Ovis aries: one gene and its partners. The main gene of each other region encodes a partner of the protein of the gene in region 3 in a complex. Links are inferred from orthologs where the notes say so. Each region holds a gene or a part of one and is shown on either strand. Other genes may lie near its edges.

Region 1 (7,009 bases), on a different chromosome or scaffold from region 3:
CTCTGTCTCACTGTGTATATCTGTCTCTCTATCCCCTCTTTCTGTGCACTTCTTCCTGCGCATCTGTTTCTCCTGTGCCTTTGGGGCTCTGCCTGCCTCTCTCTGGCTGTGCCGCTGACTCCATCTGTCTGTGCCTCCGGATGTCTGTCTCCGGGCCTTGGTCTCCTTGGTCTCGGCACCTCTGTGTCCTCCCAAGTGGAGACCCAACTCTGCTCCTGCTCTGCTCTGGTACCACTCCTGCCCCGGTTTCTCCAGCCTCTCTCACACCTAACCGCCCGCCCCGCCCCCAGGAGTAGACAGACAGCCACCCCCAGCTCAGAGAGAAGCTTTATTCCTCGGGGTCATCCTCGAGGCCAGGGTCAGGGCAGTGGGCAGTCAGCTCAGCCCTCAAACTTCTTCTTGCGGCCTTCCATTCCACTCAACGCGTCGATGTTCTTGCGCCAGTCTCCTACCTCTCGGTTTTCCTGAGGGGGTGGGTCAGAGGTTAGCGTGTCTTCCTGGTAGCCTCCACTTGCCCTCCCGCCTGCTGGGTCACTTGTTCCAGATGCCCATTGCAGGGTCTGGTTCTGGAATACTTCTTGTCCCCTCAGACAATCCTTTCCAATATGCCCCACTTCCTGTCTCCCTCCTGCACTTCCTGTGACCGACCTGCACTTCCTCTCACTCATGCACTTCCTGTCTCCCTCTTGGACTTCCTGTCTCCCTCCTGCACTTCCTGTCTCCCTCATGCACTTCCTGTCTCCCTCCTGCACTTCCTCTCTCCCTCATGCACTTCCTGTCTCCCTCTTGGACTTCCTGTCTCCCTCCTGCACTTCCTGTGACCGACCTGCACTTCCTGTCTCCCTCCTGCACTTCCTGTGACCGACCTGCACTTCCTCTCACTCATGCACTTCCTGTCTCCCTCCTGCACTTCCTCTCTCACTCATGCACTTCCTGTCTCCCTCTTGGACTTCCTGTCTCCCTCCTGCACTTCCTCTCCCTCATGCACTTCCTGTCTCCCTCATGTACCTCCTGATTCTTCGCCACTTCCACTCTCCCTAATGCACTCCCTGTCTTTCTCTTCTACATCCTATCTTACTCTTGCATTTCCTGTGCCCCTCTTAGACTTCCTGTGGAGGACCCTTACCAGATACTTCTCCCCACAACTCCAAATATCACCCGCCCTCAGGCTGGGCCCTAGGATTGCTGCCCACTACCTCCTCCCCCAAGCACCCCCTTTCCTGGACTGAGCCACACTCACCTTCTCCGTGTCCTCCTTCTTCACCTGCTTGAGGTGGGCCCGCAGGTCCAAGGTCTCCTTAGCCCTGGCGCCCAGCAGTGCCTGCATCATGGCATCTGCAGAGATCCGCACTCTACGCAGAGTGGGCCGCTTAAACTTGCCCCGAAGGTCAAAGATCTTCTGGTTCAGATCTGCGATCTGGGTGAAGCCATAAAGGGAGGTGGAGACCCCCCTCCTCTTCCTGCTTACCTCACTTCTCCACCCTACACTTCTCTCCTATCCCTAGCCAGGCTCTCCCTAGTTCAGGCCTCTACCACCTTCAGGATGAAATCCAAGCTCCCCATCCTGTAATTGGATACCCAATTTGCCTTGGCCTCATCTCTGAAAGCCACCGACACATCCCAGTCCAGTTACATGCATCTCACAGGTCCCTGGCCCACACTTGAGCTGACTTACCAACACTTGAGGCTCCAGCCACAAATGTTCACAAACATATTTCCTGCTTTGTCCCCTCCTGGCTTTTGTGCTCATCCCTGACCCTATTGTGCTCATCCTTCTGGCCTCTCCCTGCCAGGTTCACAGAGTTGTCCTGCGTCTCCTGGTGTCTGCAGCTGTAAGGAGCTGCAAGGGGCCAGGCTGAGACCAGAGCCTGAATCATCCCACACTACCCCAAAGGGACCCAGGCTGCCCAGTGCCTCCCACCTCAGTGATGTTCTTAGTGACTTTCGCCTCCACGTCATATCTCTCCTCATCCACCTTGTCCACTCGGGCGTGGAGTTCTCGGCACAAGTCCTGGTGGAGGAATGCGGTGTGTGTAGTGAGGAGAAACCCCAGGATTTGGACTCCTGGGTCTGAAGGAGGAGGGGTTGGGGACCTGGAGGAGTAGATTGAAGTCAGACCCTGGGGAACTTTAGAGGTTCTAAAGTCAGAGGTTCTGAGAATCTGGACTGGAGTTGGGCTGGAGGAACCAGTCTCTGCGTTTTGAGGTTGTAGGCAGCTGGGGGCCACATTTCTGAACTCCTAAGGGTGAGAATTGGCAAATTGGGCCCAAAGGTCCTGAGCAGAAGAGTGGGGGCATCGTAAGTATACCCCTGAGTCCCAAGGGACGCAAGATCGGACACTAGGAACCTGGGAGCCTAGGCCGGGCCGGAGTCCCTGGTTAGAACCAGTACCTGGAGCTCCGCGAAGCCCAGCCCGGCCAACTCCAGGGGCTGGCACCGTGTGCTCAGAGCGCGCCCCTTCTCTCCTCGCCGCTCCTCGGCCTCCCGCTCCAGTTCCTGCTTCGCAATCTGCAGCATCAGGGTCTAGGGAGGGGGTGCCGGGAACCGCGGCCCAGTGCTGGGATGAGGACGCTGCGGGGTAGTCACCCTCACCGGGCCCCGCCCTCTAATCCCAGGCCGGCTTCCAGAGACCTGCCTCCTCCAGGTTGATGTCCATCATTCCCGGGCCCCAGCCCTCCCTGGCAGGGCCATCCCGCCGCCAAACTTTTCAGGCCCCGCCCAGTCGCTCACCCGAAGCCCCGCCCCAACGTCCAAGACCCGCCCCCTGAAGACACCTAGCTTTTCCGTGGGCTCATCCGTACCTTCAGCTGCAGTTTTCTCGAGGCGGAGATCTTAGACTTTTTCTGCCGGGTAAGACAGCAAGGAAGGATGACGGAGGACGGCGGGAGGAGTATCAGAATCCCGCCCGTTCAAGTCAAGTCCCTCCTCCAACTCCAGCCCGCGGGAAGCCACGCCCCTCATCCCCATCCACCAATCTGGGGCCTATAGCTAGGCTCCGCCCACCGTCTCTAAGCGTTCTCAGGTGCGGAGGCGGCGGGACTCCGCCCATCCTCAAGCTCGCACCAATCAGACGTCGGCCCTCTGCTAAGCCCGTCCCATAAAGGCCTTACTCCTCTTGGGCTCCGCCCACCACCAAAGTCCCATGAGGGCCCTGGCTCCGCCCCGCCTCCCCAGGACGCCAGTGCCCTAAGAACCTGAATCTAAACCCTGCGAGGCGCCCCCCGACCGGCCCCGCGCCCTCGCTGGCCCCCGACCTCACCTTGGCGTGCGGCTCCGTGGCGTAGGCGCGGTAGTTGGCTGACGAGCGGCGTCGGACAGGAGGGGGCGCGGAGACCGTGTCCCCCGCCTGGGGTTGGGGGAACGGGGCTGAGTCACGACGGGGAGCCCCCCTCCCCAACCCGTCTCCCTGCCGTCTTCCAGGGCTGCAGTCTCTCTCCCCAGAGCCCTTCCCGCAGCCCCCTCCCCGGGCACGCGGGACCAGCCCACGCCCGCTCTCACCGTACTGCTGCCGCTCCTGGAGGGAGAGAAACCAAGAAAGCGGGTGACTGGTGGGCCTGGGTCCTGTCTAGTCCGTGTCCCAAGGGACCCCATAGGCCCTTCTGACCACAGTTCCGGCCTACCAGCTCCCCATTCTAGGCTCCTAGGGGTTGGAGTCCCAAGCTCTCACCTCATTCGGACACCCGGGTTTCCTGTCCTTACCTCCTTCTCAGAGTGGAGTCCAGGCTCGCAACTCTCACTCCTCACAGGGACCCGGGAGATGAGCCCCCACCCGCCTCCGGCCTCAAGAGCCCAGGTTACCAGTCCTCACTCACCGGTCCGCCATGCTGGGTCTCAGGCCAGGAGCTGAGGGAGGCAGAACCCCGGGAGCAAGGAGCTCTTGGAGGGTCAGGGAGGGAGCGTCCGGAGTGACCTTGAAGGTCCCTGGGACTTGTCTCGTCCGGTCTGCTCAAACCTCACTGAGGACACTGAGATAAAGGGCGAGGACGGAGACTAAATATACTGCTGCCCCCTCCTCCCCCTGCCCAGGATTCGAGATAACGGGGCGCGTGAGGGGTGGGGCGGGCCATGCTCCAGCTGGATCACCCCTTCACCTTGGTGGCCTGGGAATCCAGCCCCTTCTCCCTCAAATCCAGGGGTCCAGGCCCCCCACCCCTCCTCCCTCAGACCTGGGGGTCCAGGCCCCCCACCCTTCCTCCCTTAGACCCAGGGGTCCAGGCCTCCCACCCCTCCTCCTTCAGACCCAGGGGTCCAGGCCCCCACCCCTCCTCCCTCAGACCTGGGGGTCCAGGCCCCACACCCCTCCTCCCTCAGACCTGGGGGTCCAGGCCCCCACCCCTCCTCCCTCAGACCTGGGGGTCCAGGCCCCCACCCCTCCTCCCTCAGACCCAGGGGTCCAGGCCCCCCACACCTCCTCCCTCAGACCTGGGGGTCCAGACCCCCAGCGCTCCTCCCTCAGACCCAGGAGTCTAGGCCCTGCCCCTTCACTAAACTGCAGTCTCCTTGAGGGCTGGAACTTCCTCACTGTGTTATGCTCAGCCTCAGTGCCCCAAACCTGTTACCCAATCAGTACAGTTTGCTGATTCACTTGAGGATACAGGTGTGGGGTGCCCAGGCTTTCAGCAGTTCATTCACTCAGTCGTGTGCGACTCTGCGACCCCATGGACTGCAGCACACCAGTCCATCACCAACTCCCGGAGTTTACTCAACTCATGCCCCTTGAGTTGGTGATGCCATCCAACAATCTCATCCTCTGTTGTCCCCTTCTCCTCCCGCCTGCAATTTTTCACAGCATCAGGATCTTTTCAAATGAGTCAGCTTTTCGCATCAGGTGGCCAAAGTATTGGAGTTTCAGCTTCAACATCAATCCTTTCAATGAATATTCAGGACTGATTTCCTTTAGGATGGACTGGTTGCAACCCAAGGGACTCCCAAGACTCTTCTCCAATATCACAGTTCAAAACCATCAATTCTTCAGCACTCAGCTTTCTTTATAGTCCAACTCTCACATCCATACATGACTACTGGAAAAACCATAGCCTTAACTAGACAGACCTTTGTTGGCAAAGTAATGTCTCTGCTTTTTAATATGCTTCAGCAGGTAGCACATAAAAATTCACCTCTTGCTCACCCCCCCACACCCCCTCCCTCTCCCATTCTTGGAGACAGACTGAGGGCAGGAAAGACACAGACACCTGGAGAAGAGTTCTTGGCTCTCTTTACTTGGCCCACCTGAGGGTAGACCAGCCTGTGCGAGGCGACACCCCAGCCCCCAGTTAGGAATGGGACGCCTGGAGACGAGGGGACCACGCAGAGGGCCTGAGCAGAGCCCCAGAGCTAGAGCTCCAGGGTGTTTTCAGAGTCTGGGAGTGAAAGGCAGAACTCAAGAGAACAGTCTAGAATTCTAGGAATAAATATAGAATCCCAGGAATGGAATCCGAAATGCTAGCGACACCGCTGGCGCCGAGTGAGACTGCTGAGAGTATTCTAGAGGCGCGTTCTCCTTCTATGACCGGAGTTTAGAGGTCGGGGATGGGGGACTTGGTCTCTGGAGGAACATTCTGATTCTCTGATTTAGGGGCCTGACTCCCTGTGGGCGGAACTGAAGCCTCCAAGAGTGAAGCCTGAGACTCTGAGGTCAGTTTGAGGGGTTCAGAGGGTGGGGTCCCCGGTTCAAGGGGCTGGGTCCGGTCCTCAGAGGGCCAGTCGGTTGCCTCAAGGGGCGGGGCCAGGACGTCAGGGGGCGGAGTCCCAGATTCCACAGCCTGGTCCTCGTGGCCGGGAGCTGAGTCCCCGGCCTTGTAGAAGCGCGCGAAGGTGTCCGAGGGCTTGCCCCCCAACTGTGGGGCGAATCCAGCCGCTTGTGCTAGCTCCCCGACCCGGCGGGAGAACGCATGCAGCTGCTCCTGCCGCAGGTCCACTAGGAACCTGGAACCAGGAAGCGGCGGGTTAGGGGGCCCCCGCTTTCCGCCCCCGGCCTGGAAGTTGCCCGCCCTGCCCTCTGCTGGCTCACTGGGCTAATTCGACAATCAGGCGTCCTCTGGGGGCCACGCAGGCCCCCAGCTCTGGGCTGAGAAGATGGACCATCCTGTGGAGAGAAAAGGGGAAGGCTGAGGCTCGGACTTTCAGGTTCTGAGAGAAGAAGGGAGGCTGGGGACCTGGACACTGATTGAGGAGGGTCTGGGGGCCTAGATTCCTGGGTCTGAGGGAGGAGGGGTTGGGTGAGGAAGATCTGGGCGCCTCCCAGGTCCTCTTACCCACAGGCCACGTAGAGGAGCTGGAACTGTCCCTTGTAGCAGCTCTTGTGGTGGAGGGTGTGGGCAGAATCAAGGGGCAGGAAGTGGACAGTGAAGGGCTCCAGGACAGGGGCTGCCGGGGAAGGGAAGACTAGCAGGGTTAGGCAGACACTCGAAGCTTGGAGATGACTCTCCTCGTCCGTCTTCAGGCCTTTTGTCTTCCTTTCTCTTGGGTAGATCCCTGGAAAATTCTGGGAAGACTGGTCTGGCAGGCAGAAACCCATTTTACAGACTAGGCAACTGAGATTCACGAGAGGAAAAGAGAGTGGGTGACCCATGGCCACACAAGTCATTCATTCACCCGGGAGGGCCAACCTAGGTAATGGGTAGACGGAGGCACGACCAGATTTGGGTCGGGGGGTTCTCCAGCGGTATAATCTGAAACGTAGAACCTCGTTAAAATGTTCGCCTCTTGAGTATCTGCACGTGGGATCACAATTCTGCTAATTCTGCTAATGGAATTCAGAATGGTAAGGATGGTGTCAAGAGTTGGAAAAGGGAGAGAAATTCAAAGAGTGAAAAACAGACCGGATGTCGGAAGGGGAGGCCACTTGTCCAGGCTTTAGACACCGTACCGATCCATACTTGTACTTCAAATACCCGGAGCCTGAAGCCTGGGACGAGGGTCCGGGTCCCGCTCTCCCCCAGATGTGAGTGCCCCAGCCCCGCTTGCCACCTCAAGGGAACAGCCCGGGTCCGCGGCTTACCGGGCTCCG
Region 2 (6,536 bases), on a different chromosome or scaffold from region 3:
ACACTTGCCCGCTGCTGGACTACGTGCTTCCCGGATTGGGCCCATGTCCACATAGCTGCAGGGACACTGAGGTCAGCCGGGAGCACCACCCTCAGGGGGTGGCAGAGGGGTGTGGAGCCAGGCCGAGCTGCGTTGGCTGGGTGTTTGCCCATTTGGCTCGGTTCCGGTGGTCCTCTGTCATGCCGTGTGTTCATTGGAAAACGCAACAAGTACCCATAAGTCAGGGGGCTTCCTAGGTGCCTCAGACAGTTAAGAATTCGCCTCCAATGCAGACGTGGCTTCGATCCCTGGGTTGAGAAGACTCCCTGGAGGAGGGCATGGCTACCCACTCCAGTATTCTTCCCTGGATAATTCCATGAAGAGAGGAGCTTGGCAGGCTACAGGCCCCAGGGTCGCACAGAGTTGGACCCAACTGAGCCCACAAGAGTCTACTGAGCTGCCCCAAGCACGACGTCACCCCCACCTGCCCCCCAGCCCAGGGAGTCACTTTCTGGAACCTCGTGTTTGACATTTGCTTGCAAGAAGGTCATTCCCCAAACCCACCAAGTCGGTGGCGCCTGTGGCGGCTGCATCCCTGGGGAGCCCCGCCCCCGTTCCCTGCACAGTTGCTGGGCTCACTTTGCGGGTGGGGGGCAGGTACCGCCTCCGCCACTGGGAGCTCTGGCCACTGCAGCCCACTCAGTCCTGGAGCCCACTGCCAGCTGCCTGCCCGCGCTGGGCTCCGCACTCGGCGAGCCTCAACTGGAGCGCCGCCTCCCGCCGCCGGGAGTGCTAGGACTGGGCCTGCCCCAAGTCACAGGGTAGCGGAGCAGGAGGGCCCGCAGGAAGGTGCCCGCAGGAAGGTGCCTGCAGGACGGAGCCCAGTCCCTGCACCGCAGGGCCAGGCGGTGGGACAGGCCAAGGCCTTGGGCGGGCTGACGTCCCTCCCTTGACGCTCAAGGCTCCGGGCCCCTGCACATCAATCGTGAGGGCCTCCCGAGGGCAAGGGCAGGATGGACAGCCGCTCCATCACGGTGGCAGCCTGGCCTCCCCACCAGAGATCTGAGCGTGGGGCCTTCGCGGACCGCACCATCATCCCTCAGAAGGAGGCTGAAGGCGGCCTTGCTGTGACAGTCCCATCTGGGCCTGCCAGGGACATTGTGTCCTGATGTGGGGGGTGGCAGGGCCGGGGCGGGCAGGAAGGAAGGCAGGCCTCCCGCTGGGCCCAGAGAGGGGCTGCCTTATTCCGTCACCAGTCTCGGGGGGAGACAGACCCCAGCCCCTCGAGGCCCCCAGGAGTCTGGTCCACGACCGCCCCCCAAGCCCCTCCGGGGGGCCTGGGGTCTGGGGAGGGGCAGCTGGGGAGAACGGGCTGCCTGTGCAGGGAGGGAGGCCACCCCAGGCCCCTGCGTGTACCGGTGCCTCAAGGACAGTGTTTCTGGCCCCGAGGGGGCCTCTGTGACGCCAGCGACAACAGACGGGCGCCCATCTCCGGGTGTCGCTCGGCAACGCCCCGGCCACCCCAGCGGGTGGGCGAGGAGGAGAGCTTCCGGCCTGGAGACCACCCGCCCGGACAGCCGGGACCCCCAAAGCCCGCGTGTGGCTCCCCCACGCCAAGCCCAGGCACAGTCTCGGGGCCTTCCCAGGGCGGCCTGTGGATAGGGCGGCGCCGGACCAGGGCAGGGAGGAGCAGGCCTGGGGATTGGAATCCTTTATTGACAGGCGCCAAGTCAGCCTCAGGGCCCCCGGTGACGGGGCGCCGGGCGGCGGCCGGGGTGAGGGGCCTAGGACTCGGTCTCGAACATCTTCTTGCGGCCCTCCATGCCTGACTTCTCCTCAATGTTCTTCCTCCAGTCGCCCACATCGCGCAGGTCGCGCTCCTGCAGGTGGGACAGGGCTCAGGCCGGCGCCGCCTCCCCGCCGCCCGGCGTCCGGCCCCCGCAGGCGGGCCCCGAGGCTGAGGCCCCCGCCGCCGGGGGCGGCCTACCTTCTCGGTGTCCTCCTTCTTGACCTGCTTGAGGTTGGCCCGCAGGTCCATGCACACCTTGTGCTTGGAGCCCAGCAGCGCCTTCAGCATGGCGTCGGCCGACATGCGCACGCGTCGCAGCGGGGGCCGCTTGAACTTGCCCCTCAGGTCGAACAGCTTCTGGTTCATGTCCTCCAGCTGCAGGGCGGGCAGCGAGGCTGGGCGGGCAGGCGTTGGGGACTGGGCCCCGCCATCAGGGCAGCCCGCGCCCCGGCCCACGCGCCTCCCCCGCCACTCACCTCCTTGGTGCTCTTCTGCATCCTCACCTCCATGTCATACTTCTCCTCCTCGGCCGCGTCGATCTTGGCGTGCAGCTGCCTGCAGAGCTCCTGGCGGCGGAGGTCACGGGTGGGCGAGCGGGCGACCCCACGGCTGGCCTCCACCCACCCTGACCACCCCGCTCGTCCTCCCGACCCGGGGGGTGGATGGGCCAGGCCAGGAACAGGGCCCACGATGCGGGGGCCCTGGGTACCTGCACTTCAGACATGGAGCCGGGCAGGTGCAATGGCGGGCAGTGTTCTGACAGGTAGTTCTGCTTCTCCGCCTCCCGGCGGCCCTCCTCCTTCTCCAGCTCAGTGGCCGCAATCTGCAGCATGACGCTCTGGGGGGTGGGGTGGGGGCAGCGGGCAGTGAGGGCGCCGCTGGCCAGGCTGCTGCGCCCCCGGGCCGCCCTCCCCGGCCCTCACTTACCTTCAGGTGCTGCCTGCGGGCCGTGATGGCCCTGTTGCGTTTCTGCAGGGCAGGGGAGAGGAGGCGCCGTCAGGGCCGGCCGGTGGGGCGTCCTGGCACCCCGCACCCTTCCCTGCCCACTCGGCCAGCCCTGCATCCTGCCCAAGGCACGGCGGGGCCTGGGCCTGGTGGGGAACACGGGGCCGCGTGGGGACCCTTTGCCGGGGCGGCCCTTCTGGTGGGGAGGCCTGGGGTCTGGAGAAGAGACTTCGGACAGGGAAGGCGGGAGGAGGGCAGGGGAGACCCTCGGGCCCCGAGGTGGGGGCGGGGTGCAGCCAAGAGAAACAAGAAGTGACTCCCCAGTGACCAGGCCGCAGCCCACTTCCCCCCGGCCCGTGGGAGGGGCCAACGGGAAGGCCACTTCCTCTGTTTCTCAGCGTCTTGGAGGGTGGGGTGGGGCAGTTTCACCCACAGGGTGAGTCAGTCTCCCTGGGCCTTGGAGCTCCAGCTTCAGGCCTGTCCTGACTTGGGGGTCCCATCCCCTCAGTGTTTCACCCCCAAGCTGGTACTCACCTCCTCACTGTCCCAGGAGGGCGGGCGGGGGGTAGGGGAGAGAGAAGAGAGGTTAGGGCCATGGGGCTGTGTGATGGGGCAGGCGGGTGCGTGGGGTGGTCAGGTGGGGACACGCAGAGACCCCCACCCAGCACTGGGGGGCGGGGGCCCCAGGGACAGCAGGCTGGGGGTTGCACTTACTCCCCCATCGTGCGATCCTGAGCTGATAGCCTGTGGGAGAGAAAGGTGAGGGGTCAGGACCCCTGCCCACCTGCCCTGTACCCGGTGGGGCCAGGAGAACACTAGCCCACCCCCCGCCCCCACCTCCTTCAGGGCCACGTCTTGGAATTCCCCAGGGCGGGGAGGGAGCAGTAAGAGGAGACAGGGTGCCCGAAATGTCCCCGCGGGCCTGGAGTTGCTGCAGCTGTCCCCACGGGAGGGAGGGTCTGGCCAGCGCAGGTGGCCGCCTGAGCCGCCAGTTATTTTTAGCCCTGCTCCTTCGGCTTCTGGCCCAAGTGCACGGAAGACGCCGCCCCCCGGTAGGGCCTGGGGTCCCTCACGCCTCGAAGCCCCCTCTTCCCAAGGCTCAGAGCCGAGGCCTGGCTGCCGCCGTGCCGTCCGGGACCCCATGCCATGCCAGCCCCCTCCGGAGGCGTCTCCCTGCAGCCCTCTGCTCTGCAGAAGCCCTCAGACCCCGGACCCCCACCCTCGCCCTGGAGAAGTCCCTCTGAGAGCGCGCTCCAGACGCGCCCGTGCTGGCCTCGGCGGGCCGGGCCGGCCTCACCTCGCGTCTGGGCAGCGGCGCTGGGACCGAGGTCAGGCCGGCAGTGGCGAGTCGGGCTGGTGGGTCCGGGGGAGGGCTATAAATGGCCTCCCCCGGGCTGGGCCCCCGCTCAGAAAGGGCATGGAGTCCTCCTCAGACCAATGGGGGCACAGGGACCTCCCCACCTGCCCAGCCGCCTGGCCTGGCCCCGCCGCCGCCACTGCCATCCAGGCCAAGAAGTCTTGGGAGGGGGTGCTGAGGCTGGGTTGGTCTATTTAGGGCGAGGTGACGACTTCGAGTCGCCTCCCTCGTATCTTGCAAGGAGCCCGAGGACAGTGTGACGGCCTCAGCAGCCACGGTGCCAGCTCAGGGGTCAGCCGAGGGGTCACTCCTGCCCAGCCCTGTCTGCCCAGAGGCAGGGTCCACTCTGGGTCGCCCTCGGCTTTCCCAGGCCTCTGGGCCCCCCAGGAAACAGCAGCCCACTCACACTCTGCTGCCCACAGTCCCCTCTAGCCCAGTGGACAGATTGGGCATGAGCTGCTCAAGTGCTCCCTGCCTCAGGCTGGCCTGGGGCAAGGCCGGACCCCAGATACAGCCTCTGCGGCCTGCAGCAGCACCAGGGGCTCTGGGCTGAGGGTAGAGGGACTGCCCTCCAGGGGTGGGATCCCATCTTCTTCTCAGAGCTGGATGGGAGGTCCCAGATGGACGTGCAGCCTTGCCCGACCACCCTGCCCGTGGGCTGGCTCCCCGCACAGCTCAGAACACATCCTTCAAACTCAGGATTTCGGCACCACCCGCCTGGGAACCTCTCCCTGACCCGAGGGGGCCCAGGGCCCGCCTGGCTGCTCAGGCAGGCCCAGCACACTGCCCTCCTCACCCCAGCCCCGGGCCTGCGGCCCCCCACCCTGGCCCCCGCCCAGCAGAGGCATCCGGACGACCATGACTTGGCATCCTCTGAGCTGGGGCTTCTCGGCCATGGGGAGGGCCAGGGAGAGCTGAAGCCGTCCAGATGTGTGGGGGTTAGAGTTGCTTTCTGGGCCAGGCTGAGCCCCCAAAGGCCCAGGGTGGCTTCTGCAGGCATCTACTGCCCCCTGCTGCGCGTGCAGGGGAGGCCCCGCCCCACCATCCAGTCAGTTTCAGGGCTTTGTGGGGGACTGGGGTGGCCCCAGGAATTGGAGTTCCCTCCACCCACTGTCACCACCCTCCCAAACACCTTGCTCTTGCCCGGTGTGTCCCCAGGGGCCCGTCTCTAGCTCTCTAGTCACAGATGGGGGCCCCTTCTCCCGGATCATCCCCAGCGGGCCTGGAGGGGCCCCTTTGCCCTCACTCAGGGGTCAGGCCCAAGTCAGAGGCCTGGATGAGCCACGAGAGGAGACCCTCTCCCTGTCCATGGGAGGGGCCGTGGCGGTGTCAGGAGCCCCTGACCCCGCCGCGCCTGCAGAGCTCAGGAAAGACGCATGGTGGAGGGGAGGCGTTTATTGCCGCGGGCCCTGGGGCAATGCGCACGGGGAGGCCCAGGCCCAGGGCTGCCCTCAGAAGCCAGGCAAGGGCAGACGCAGGCGGGACTGCAAGGCCAGGGCCTGGTCCACCTCCCTGGCTGGCTGCAGGCGGTGCCACTGGGCGACGGGCCGCCGGGCCTGGGCCAGCATGTCCGCCCAGTGCTGGAGAGGCTGCCCAGAGGCCCGGGCGCCCAGCAGCACCTTGCCGACAGGCTCGGCCCGCAGCTGTGGGCCCTGGGCCCAGACGGCCAGCACCAGATCCACGCTCTGGGTAGAAGCAGGCAGAGGTGTAGGAGGAGGGGGAGAGAGACAGCGGTCAGTTTGGCCCTGAGTGAGGTTCTCTCCTGCCCCCTCCTCCAGGCAGCCCACCTGGATCTGGCTGAAGGGCACGAGGAAGGTGAAGGCCTCGTTGAAGTAAGGGGTGGCCGTGCCCTTCCTGGCCGACGTCTTTCTCCTTTTCCACTTCCTCTGGTTCAGCATGAGCTGGATCTTCACGTAGGGGTCTGGGAGAGCGAAAGGGGTCAGAGGGCCTCCCAGGTCTGAGGGCTGAGCCCTGGGTTCCTCTGTCCACATGGCGAGGTGGGTCCAGCTCTCACCTGCCAGCACAGGGCTCAGGCCTCGGGCCTCCAGCACGACCACAGTCAGCCGGCCGGAGCCGGGCACGTAGTGGAGCGAGAAGCAGAGCTCCTCCGTCTGCTCAGGCTGTGGGGGGCACGAGAGGGCCTCAGCTGCCCCCCCCAGCACGCGGAGCCAGGTGGGGGGCGGGAGCCCGGGGCGGGCGGGCTCACCTCAGCCGCAGCGGGCGGGCCCAGTGGGCGCCAGAGCTCCAGCACGTGCTGCAGGTCCACGGAGCCCAGCGGCAGGCTGAGCGCGCCCAGCGGCCGGTGCTGGGAGAGGCGCCTGTGGTCCAGGAGCAGCACACGCAGGGTGGTCCTGGGCAGCTCCACAGGCGGCACCTGCGGGAGGGGTGTGAGCCGCCTGGCCGCCCCACCCAGCCCCCTGGGCCCAGCCCTGACTCACGTGGAAGGAGCAGGTCTCCTCGAACGCG
Region 3 (7,080 bases):
CATGGGCCCTTGGGCCCTTCCCTTACCCAGGGTCTCTCCCACCCCACCAGCCACATCCCCTCTCCAATCCCCATCTGGCACTCTGCTGGTTTCCTCACTGTACTCATCTCTTTGTCTTCCTGAGTTTACTGTAAATTCCACAAAATTAGGGACTGGGCCTCCTTCTGAAAAGTCCCAGTGTTCAGCCAGTGCTAGACACATAGTAGGGGTGTGACTAAACCCTGGAATGGCACACAGGCTGGTGGTGCCACCCACTGTCATCCTCCCTCCTATCCTGAATGTCATTCCTGGGTATACATGTAGGTCCTTCGGTTCTCCAGCTCCCGAGGGCAGGACGGAGGGGACCCATCTCCTCTCCCCAATCTCTCCAGGGACCAGGCAGCTCCCACCAGCTTTGGCCTCCACTGAGGCATCTTCAGAATTCCAAGACCGTCTCTGGAATGCCGGGCCTGTCTGGAGAATGCCAAGGCTGGGGCACAGGTGGGGAGGCTGTGGAGTGGCTGGGCGGAGCACGACAGCTGCTGACATTCTGGCTGGAGCCTGGGCACCGCGGCAGCTGTCCCTCTGGTAAGCACTGCTGCTGACACCTCGCTTCCCTGTGGCCCCCATCTCCCGGAGGTCAATCTCACTGTTCTGTCCGTAGCTCTGGCCTGGGCACCCCCAGGCAACTGAGAGTCACCAGGCCCCATGCCTCCACTCCCTGACAGGGGGTGAAAGTGAGTGCTGGGGTCATGAGGTTCACAGGAACTGGGAGCCCTGCCCATCAGGACCTGTTCATTAGAGTCCTTGGCTGGGAGCCAGGTGGCTCTGCTCTCCCCAGACTCACAGGATGACCCCGCAGGCCCCTCCCTGAGCCGCCCCGGGTGCCAGGGTCCTTACCTGTGAAATGAGTGAGGGGAGGTAGAGCAGGCGATATGCCCCTGGGTCTGGGGAGTCCACACTACAGCAGGAAATCCAGGTGGACGGGCAGGGGGACTGGGCAGGCCCAAGGACCCCCCAGCGTCCTGCTGCCAGACGGGAGGAGCCATGGCTGCTCTGCCAAGTGGCATCCAGGGCTTGGCCTGGTGCTGAAGGACTGCCCCTCCGAGTATAGGACCCTTCTGCTGCCAACTGGCTGACTAAAGCCATGGCCCCCAGGGGCCTGTGAAACTCAGATTCCTGGGCCACCACAGACTCCAGATGTGGAATTGCTGGAGATGGAGCCTGGGCACCAGCAGTTCTAGAAAGGAGCCAGGTGGGTATGGAGCACGGTGGTCTCTGAGCTGTAGAAGGCGGGGTGCGAGGGTGGTGAGAGCATGGGTTCTGGGACAGGGAAGGCAGCGGTCAGGGCAGGAGAGGCCACTGGCGGAGATGGGGGAATGAAAGCTGGACACCAGGCCTCCAGGAGCACGATTTTATTGGCTAGGACAGTGCTGAGGGAGGTAGTCATGGAGGGCCCTTTGTCAAGGGCACACCCAAGTTCACATCCTGGGGACCCTGGCCCTCTGCCCGCAGTCCCGGGGCCCAGCTGGAGTTGGAAGGTGGTACAGGCAGCTCTGGGTGAAGGTTGGTGTCTACTCCACCCCCTTCATGAACTCCAGGAACTCTGCGGAGAGACAGACGGGCATAGGTTAGACATGGGGCCTGGGCAGGGCGTGGGCAGGGGGATTCAGAGGGACCCACTCACCATCGTAGTCAATGCGGCCATCGTTGTTTTTGTCACCATCCTTCATGAGCTCCTCAATGTCGTCCTCTGTGATGGTCTCCCCTGTAGCCTGAAGCATTATCTTCAGCTCCTCCAGGTCGATGTAGCCGTCAGCATTTCTGCCAGTTGGGTGAGAGGGGCCTCAGAGCCCATTTTAGGGGCAGGGGGAGGGGGCAAAACAGCCCTGCTTGTGACCCTGGGAAGCAGGGAAGGGCCACCAGGAGATGGGGCATCCTATTCCCTCATTGTGCAGAACGGGAGATGGAGGCCAAGGTCACAAAGCTGTCCCCCTCTGCCCAGCTCTGCCAGGGCCAGGGTCGGAGGTCCAGGCTCACGCACTCACTTGTCAAACATGCGGAAGAGGTCTGAAAGCTCTTCCTCAGACTTTCCTTTGCTGTCATCCTTCATGCAGCGAACCATCATGACCAAGAACTCATCAAAGTCCACTGTGCCGCTGCCTGGGGGAGAGGGCGGCACACCATTAAAGGGTGGTGCTCAGGATGGCTGGCCCTGCCCTGGACACTGACCCCAGTGGTGTTCTCACTGAATCCTCTCAGTGACTCTGTGAGGCGAGTGTGATTACTGCGCCCATTGCATAGATGATATGGTTGAGGATCAGAGGGGCCAAACAGCTCCTTTAAGGGTGCAAAGTAAGAAGTGGCAGGGCCAGGGTTCAAGTCCTCCCAGAGTTGGGGGCCTGGGGAGGGGCAAAGGGGCTCACCGTCCTCATCCACCTCGTCAATCATCTCCTGCAGCTCCTCAGGGGTGGGGTTCTGCCCCAGCATCCTCATCACCTTGCCCAGCTCCTTGGTGCTGATGCAGCCATCCTCAGCGCCCAGCACGAAGATGTCAAAGGCTGCCTTGAACTCTGTGTCCAGGAGGAGAGGAGGGGAAGCAGAGCAGCATGGCTCAGTCAAGAACCCTGAAGGCCAGACGCCGAGGGCCGCCTGCTAACCTGCTGCTCCCCTCTGAGACCTCTGGGGTGACCGGGAGGGGGACCCCAGCCTCGGGCCTGCAGCCTGGGGTCCTCACGCTCCCCCAGCTGGGCCCCACTGTTTCCCCACAGCCATGTTGGGGCACTCACCATTTTTCTGCTCTTCTGTCAGCTGCTCTACCTAGAGAAGAAAAGAAGTCTCAGGCTCAGACCTTGGCTTCTGTCGAGGAAACCAGCCCATTCCACAGGTGGGAAGACTGAAGCCGGGAAGAGGCAGGCCATTCCCAGGTCACAGAGCAGAGGCCTCAGTTCTCCCAGCCTGTCCCCAAGCCCTGAGGTGACCCAGCTCACCTCCCTGAGGCTGGGCTCAGGGCCAGGGTGGCAGGTGGGCGCCCTCTCCAGGACCAAGGTGACCCCGAATAACAATAGCCAGTTGGCCTCTCAGTGTCCTTTCAGCCCCCCTGCTGAAACCCAAGCTGGGTGGCCGGAGGGGCAGCTGTCCCTCAGGTTCGGACAATAAAACCACAGCGGGGGTAGGCAAAGCCACCCGCTGTAACCTGACCGGTGGCCACTGGGCTATTTTTAACGGGGGACAAAGTTAAACCTGGTGATTGTTCTGGGGACTCTGGCATGCAGGGGGTGGGGCAGCGTTATCTGGCCCCTTGGCCTCCTGGTGTCTCAAGAGCCAAAATTAGTCCCTGGTCCGCCAGGCCTTGTATGGGCACGGGGTGGAGGGCTGCCCCTCTCCCAGCTCCACAGACTCCTGCAGGAAAGACAGGGGCACCCCCAGAGCCAGCTGTAGCCTTTCCTGCCCAGGAGGGGGTCCGTACTTCCTGGAGCTGAGGTAGGGGTTCCCTTGCGCGCAGCTGTCTGGGTCAGATGTCCTTGTCTCTGTGGTGGACGGAGGTCAGCAACACCCCCACTCCCAGGTTGGAATAGCATCTGAAGCCCCTCAGTGGCCCCTGCAGGGACTTGGGGTGACCAAGAAAAGGTGACCACCCTCTAGCCCTTCCCCTTAGCTGAGCCACTGAGCCCTGAGCCTGCCAGGCTGAACAGGGGCTGCGCCCCAGGTCTGTTATTCCCTCCTAGTCCCTCTGTGCCTGCATCAAGCTTCAGAGCCCTCTGCAGCCCCCTCCTCACAACCCCTGTCCCACCCTCCAGAGCACCTTCAGCCAGCCAAGGGGGTGGTGGGGGATTGGATGGGTGAGGAGCCAAATATGAGGGGCAGCAATGCGGAGAGGGAAACAGCCACAGAGCCTCAGAAGGAGAGCTTGGGAGGAACAAAGAGACAGACCAAACACACAAATGCAGAGAGGTGTGTCCCAGAGACAGTGACACAGGCTACAGACATTTGGAGACCGGGCTGGACATGATGCTATAGCTTTGATGTCCTCCTCCACCAACCCTGATAGTTCCCCCCAGATCCTAAACTCTTCACCCCTTCTACACCCTGGAATGCCAGACCAACCGGCCCCTTGAAGGTCTAGGCTGAAAGTTACTGGACTCTATCCTGGGTCCCTACCACCTCCTTAGGGTGACCTTGCCCCTGAGCCCCCAGTGGGTACGCCCACCCCAGGCCCCAAAGGGTATGCCCACCCCAGCCCTGCCCAGGCCCATCCCTTACCGCAGCCTTGTAGATGTCATCCATACTGGCGGCTCACAGGGCAGGCTGCTGGGGTTGCCAGCGGCCCTGGGCTTAAATAGCCTAGCCCCGCCGCATTCCCGACCCAGCCCACCCCTGCCTGCAATATCCTCTACTCCCTCCCCTTGGCCCTGGTGATCTCACACTGGCCTGAGTCCCTGTGTCCTCTGCCCAGGGCAAGGAGCAGATGAAGGGCTACAGGACCAGAGCTCTTTCCCTCTGTCCCCCATTCCCCCAGGAGACTCTCTGGAAAGGTTTTTGGAATGAATGAAAACATGAGTCCAGGACAGGCAGGAGCTGCAAGGCCAGGCCCCCAGGCCAGGCCCCCAGATCAGCAACACAACTCTTATCCAACCAAGGAGGTGGGTGAGGCTCCTGGAGGGGTGGTGACTTGCTCAGGTCTGGCTGACTTGGCAGCTCCTGACTTAAACTAAACCCCTCTGGGCTTCCCTAGTGGCTCAGATGGTAAAGCATCTGCCTGCAATGTGGGAGATCCGGGTTAGATCCCTGGGTTGGGAAGATTCCCTGGAGAAGGAAATGGCAACCCACTCCAGTACTCTTGTCTGGAAAATCCCATGGACGGAGTAGCCTGGTAGGTTACAGTCCCTGGGGTCGCAAAGAGTCAGACACGACTGAGTGACTTCACTTTCCTGCAGCAGTATGCAAAAAGAAGCTGGGAGTGGAGGACCCTGCCAAGAGAAGCGTTGAGTGCCAAGCTCGGATCGTGGTGCTGTGGGACTCGTGGAGAAGGAAGGCACTGGCCTACCTCAAGAGAGTGCAGTTTGGAGCCCTTCTGCCAAGGGTGCCAGAGGAGCCGCTCCCCAGACCTGTCATCTCCTCAGGGAGAAAAGTACTAGGTCTAGGCTGAAATGCACTCTACCAGTCAACAAATACACCAACAGATGCCTCGTCTGTGTGAGACTCTCCCTCTCCAGTTGGGTCACTACCTCTTCTGGACCTGGGTTAGGGCTCCTTCTCTGTGCCCATGCTTCCCTTTTCCAGCACTGTAGTTCCTGAGTCCAGCGCCAATCTGTCACCCCCTCATTTTGAGCTCTGGTAGGATACCATCTGGGGGTGTTGTGCCAGATGGCCAGCACATATCCTTTCCACCTAACCCCTCCACGTCCTTCACGCAGCTGGTTTTGAGTGGCTCAGTCATGCCTGACTCTTTGTGACCTCATGGACTGTAGCCTGCCAGGCTCCTCTGTCCATGGGATATTTTCCTGGCAAGAATACTGGAGTGGGTTGCCATTTCCTCCTCGAGGGGATCTTCGGACCCAGGGATGGAACCTGCGTCTCCTGTTTGGCAGGCGGATTCTTTACCACTGACCCACCTGGGAAGTCACAGAGCCTATACCAGTTCCCTGCCTTGCCTGCCAGCCATTGCATGGATTAACCCCCTCAATTCTCTAGAAAGTCCATTTGACAGAGATATCTGAGTCTTGCAGAGGTTAAGAACTAGCTCAGAGTTACAAATCAGATCCTCCTTCAACACACTCCAGGGAATGAGACCAAGAGGTAGGTGAGATGTAATTACTGTCGCTTTTGCGGAGAGGGAAACTAAGGCCAGGCGTGGCAGTGACTTGCCACGGAAGGTGCAGGGCCATCCCTTTCGAGTGCCAGAGCCCAGAGCAATTCCTGCCCGAGCCTCGGTTTCTCCCGAGCTGCAAGGCGCGCGGCGGGCGGGGCCCCGGGGACCGATTACGCAATCGAACCGTCCCAGGCGGCCTGCGCACGCGCGCCGCGGGCCGCAGCTGTCAATTACGTGCGCGGGGCGGAGTGGGGCGGGGGCGCGAGAAGGCGGCGGGGCCGGCATGGCCGCACGGCTCGCGCCGGGGGCGGGGGGCGGCGGGGGCCAGGGGGCGGTGGGACGCTGACCCCGCCCCCTACTGCTGCCAGTCTGCGCCGGGCGGCGGCGGCGACCGAGCCCGGAACATGGCGGCGGCGGCGCGCAGCTTCGGGCCCGAGCGGGAGGCCGAGCCGGCCAAGACGGCGCGCGTCGTGGGCTCTGAGCTCGTGGACACGTATACGGTGTGCTGGGGGCCCGGGCTCCCGAACTGGAGGTGGCGACTGGGACCTGGAGTCTTGAGTCGGGGGCGGGGGGTTGGGGTGGGCTTCTCGGCCCCTCAGCTGGAGAGGAAGATGTCGGGGCGCTGCGACTTTGAGGAGGGGGCCTGGGATGGCAGAATCTGGGGAACGGGCGCTTGGGCTCCGCGGGTCTGGAAAAAGGGTCTTGGGGTGGGGCGCAGAGAGGGGGCTTAGGAAGGGTATGCGTTTAGAAAAGGAGGCTAGGAATGGGAAGGATCAAGGGATAAAGGAGGCCTGCAGAGGAGAGGGGTCAGGTTGAGGCGGAGGCTCCCCTGGAGGGGCGCCGGCCTGGGAGGACATGACAGGGGGTCCCGGAGAAGGGGAATTAGGAAAGGGGGTCTTCGGATGGTATCAGCGGAAAGGGTTAGGGCGCTGCAAGCCGTGAAGAAAAAGAGGGGGCGGGGCCTTGGTCTGGGGGCCCTTGGGGTTGCAGTTGACATTTGCTCATAAGTGAAGGGGGCATCTGGGGGGCCTGGGCGCTCAGGCAGAGACAAGAATAGAGGCGAGTGGAGCCCAGACCCCGGGGATTGAGGGGGTGGCTCAGGACTGAGAGTCCAAGAGCCCGGAACTTTAGGGGTCTTCACGGCTTTGGACTGTGGGGGTGAGAGAGAGCGTCTCACTGCCCACGCACACTTCAAGGCTGTGGAGGAGATGCAGGATAGAAAGGGGAGAAGTCGCAGACTGTGATGAAGTAGGAGGCCCTCCTGGGTCTGGGTGGGCTTGGGCGCCTAT

The links.
Region 1: the proteins of TNNC1 (region 3) and TNNI3 are in contact, whole or in part, in a crystal structure (PDB 4Y99), measured with the Homo sapiens proteins. The link is inferred for Ovis aries from reciprocal best matches to the Homo sapiens genes TNNC1 and TNNI3. Residues at the interface, in NP_003271.1 of Homo sapiens: Asp3, Ile4, Lys6, Ala7, Glu10, Gln11, Thr13, Glu15, Gln16, Glu19, Phe20, Ala22, Ala23, Ile26, Phe27, Val44, Met45, Leu48, Gln50, Glu59, Met60, Glu63, Glu66, Asp67, Gly68, Asp73, Asp75, Glu76, Phe77, Met81; in NP_000354.4 of Homo sapiens: Glu32, Pro33, His34, Ala35, Lys36, Lys37, Lys38, Ser39, Lys40, Ile41, Ser42, Ala43, Ser44, Arg45, Lys46, Leu47, Gln48, Leu49, Lys50, Thr51, Leu52, Leu53, Leu54, Ile56, Ala57, Lys58, Glu60, Leu61, Glu64, Arg136.
Region 2: the proteins of TNNC1 (region 3) and TNNI2 are in contact, whole or in part, in an NMR structure (PDB 2MKP), measured with the Homo sapiens proteins. The link is inferred for Ovis aries from reciprocal best matches to the Homo sapiens genes TNNC1 and TNNI2. Residues at the interface, in NP_003271.1 of Homo sapiens: Asn18, Glu19, Phe20, Ala22, Ala23, Ile26, Val44, Met45, Met47, Leu48, Gln50, Pro52, Glu56, Phe77, Met80, Met81, Cys84, Met85, Lys86, Asp87; in NP_001139301.1 of Homo sapiens: Arg116, Met117, Ser118, Ala119, Asp120, Ala121, Met122, Leu123, Ala125, Leu126, Leu127, Lys130, His131, Lys132.

What each region holds. Positions count from the first base shown.
Region 1 is NC_056067.1:63,045,638-63,052,646, reverse strand, and holds TNNI3 (troponin I, cardiac muscle), read right to left. Parts: upstream 3,968-7,009; 5' UTR 3,824-3,967; coding exon 3,813-3,823; intron 3,515-3,812; coding exon 3,499-3,514; intron 3,347-3,498; coding exon 3,260-3,346; intron 2,844-3,259; coding exon 2,802-2,843; intron 2,524-2,801; coding exon 2,392-2,523; intron 2,012-2,391; coding exon 1,922-2,011; intron 1,418-1,921; coding exon 1,241-1,417; intron 465-1,240; coding exon 381-464; 3' UTR 316-380; downstream 1-315. Other genes in the region: DNAAF3 (dynein axonemal assembly factor 3), read right to left, coding at 5,517-5,925, 6,011-6,085, 6,255-6,366, 7,001-7,009. UniProt on the Homo sapiens protein: Troponin I is the inhibitory subunit of troponin, the thin filament regulatory complex which confers calcium-sensitivity to striated muscle actomyosin ATPase activity.
Region 2 is NC_056074.1:46,019,856-46,026,391, forward strand, and holds TNNI2 (troponin I, fast skeletal muscle), read right to left. Parts: upstream 3,624-6,536; 5' UTR 3,458-3,623; coding exon of another isoform or gene 3,347-3,457; exon of another isoform or gene 3,266-3,346; intron 3,255-3,265; 5' UTR 2,696-3,254; intron 2,607-2,695; 5' UTR 2,601-2,606; coding exon 2,478-2,600; intron 2,335-2,477; coding exon 2,245-2,334; intron 2,144-2,244; coding exon 1,967-2,143; intron 1,860-1,966; coding exon 1,764-1,859; 3' UTR 1,676-1,763; downstream 1-1,675. Other genes in the region: SYT8 (synaptotagmin-8), read right to left, coding at 5,522-5,755, 5,858-5,991, 6,085-6,190, 6,277-6,444, 6,509-6,536. UniProt on the Homo sapiens protein: Troponin I is the inhibitory subunit of troponin, the thin filament regulatory complex which confers calcium-sensitivity to striated muscle actomyosin ATPase activity.
Region 3 is NC_056072.1:48,510,150-48,517,229, reverse strand, and holds TNNC1 (troponin C, slow skeletal and cardiac muscles), read right to left. Parts: upstream 4,293-7,080; 5' UTR 4,267-4,292; coding exon 4,243-4,266; intron 2,800-4,242; coding exon 2,769-2,799; intron 2,553-2,768; coding exon 2,406-2,552; intron 2,143-2,405; coding exon 2,028-2,142; intron 1,810-2,027; exon of another isoform or gene 1,804-1,809; coding exon 1,667-1,803; exon of another isoform or gene 1,586-1,666; coding exon 1,554-1,585; 3' UTR 1,380-1,553; downstream 1-1,379. Other genes in the region: NISCH (nischarin), read left to right, coding at 6,196-6,291. UniProt on the Homo sapiens protein: Troponin is the central regulatory protein of striated muscle contraction. Tn consists of three components: Tn-I which is the inhibitor of actomyosin ATPase, Tn-T which contains the binding site for tropomyosin and Tn-C.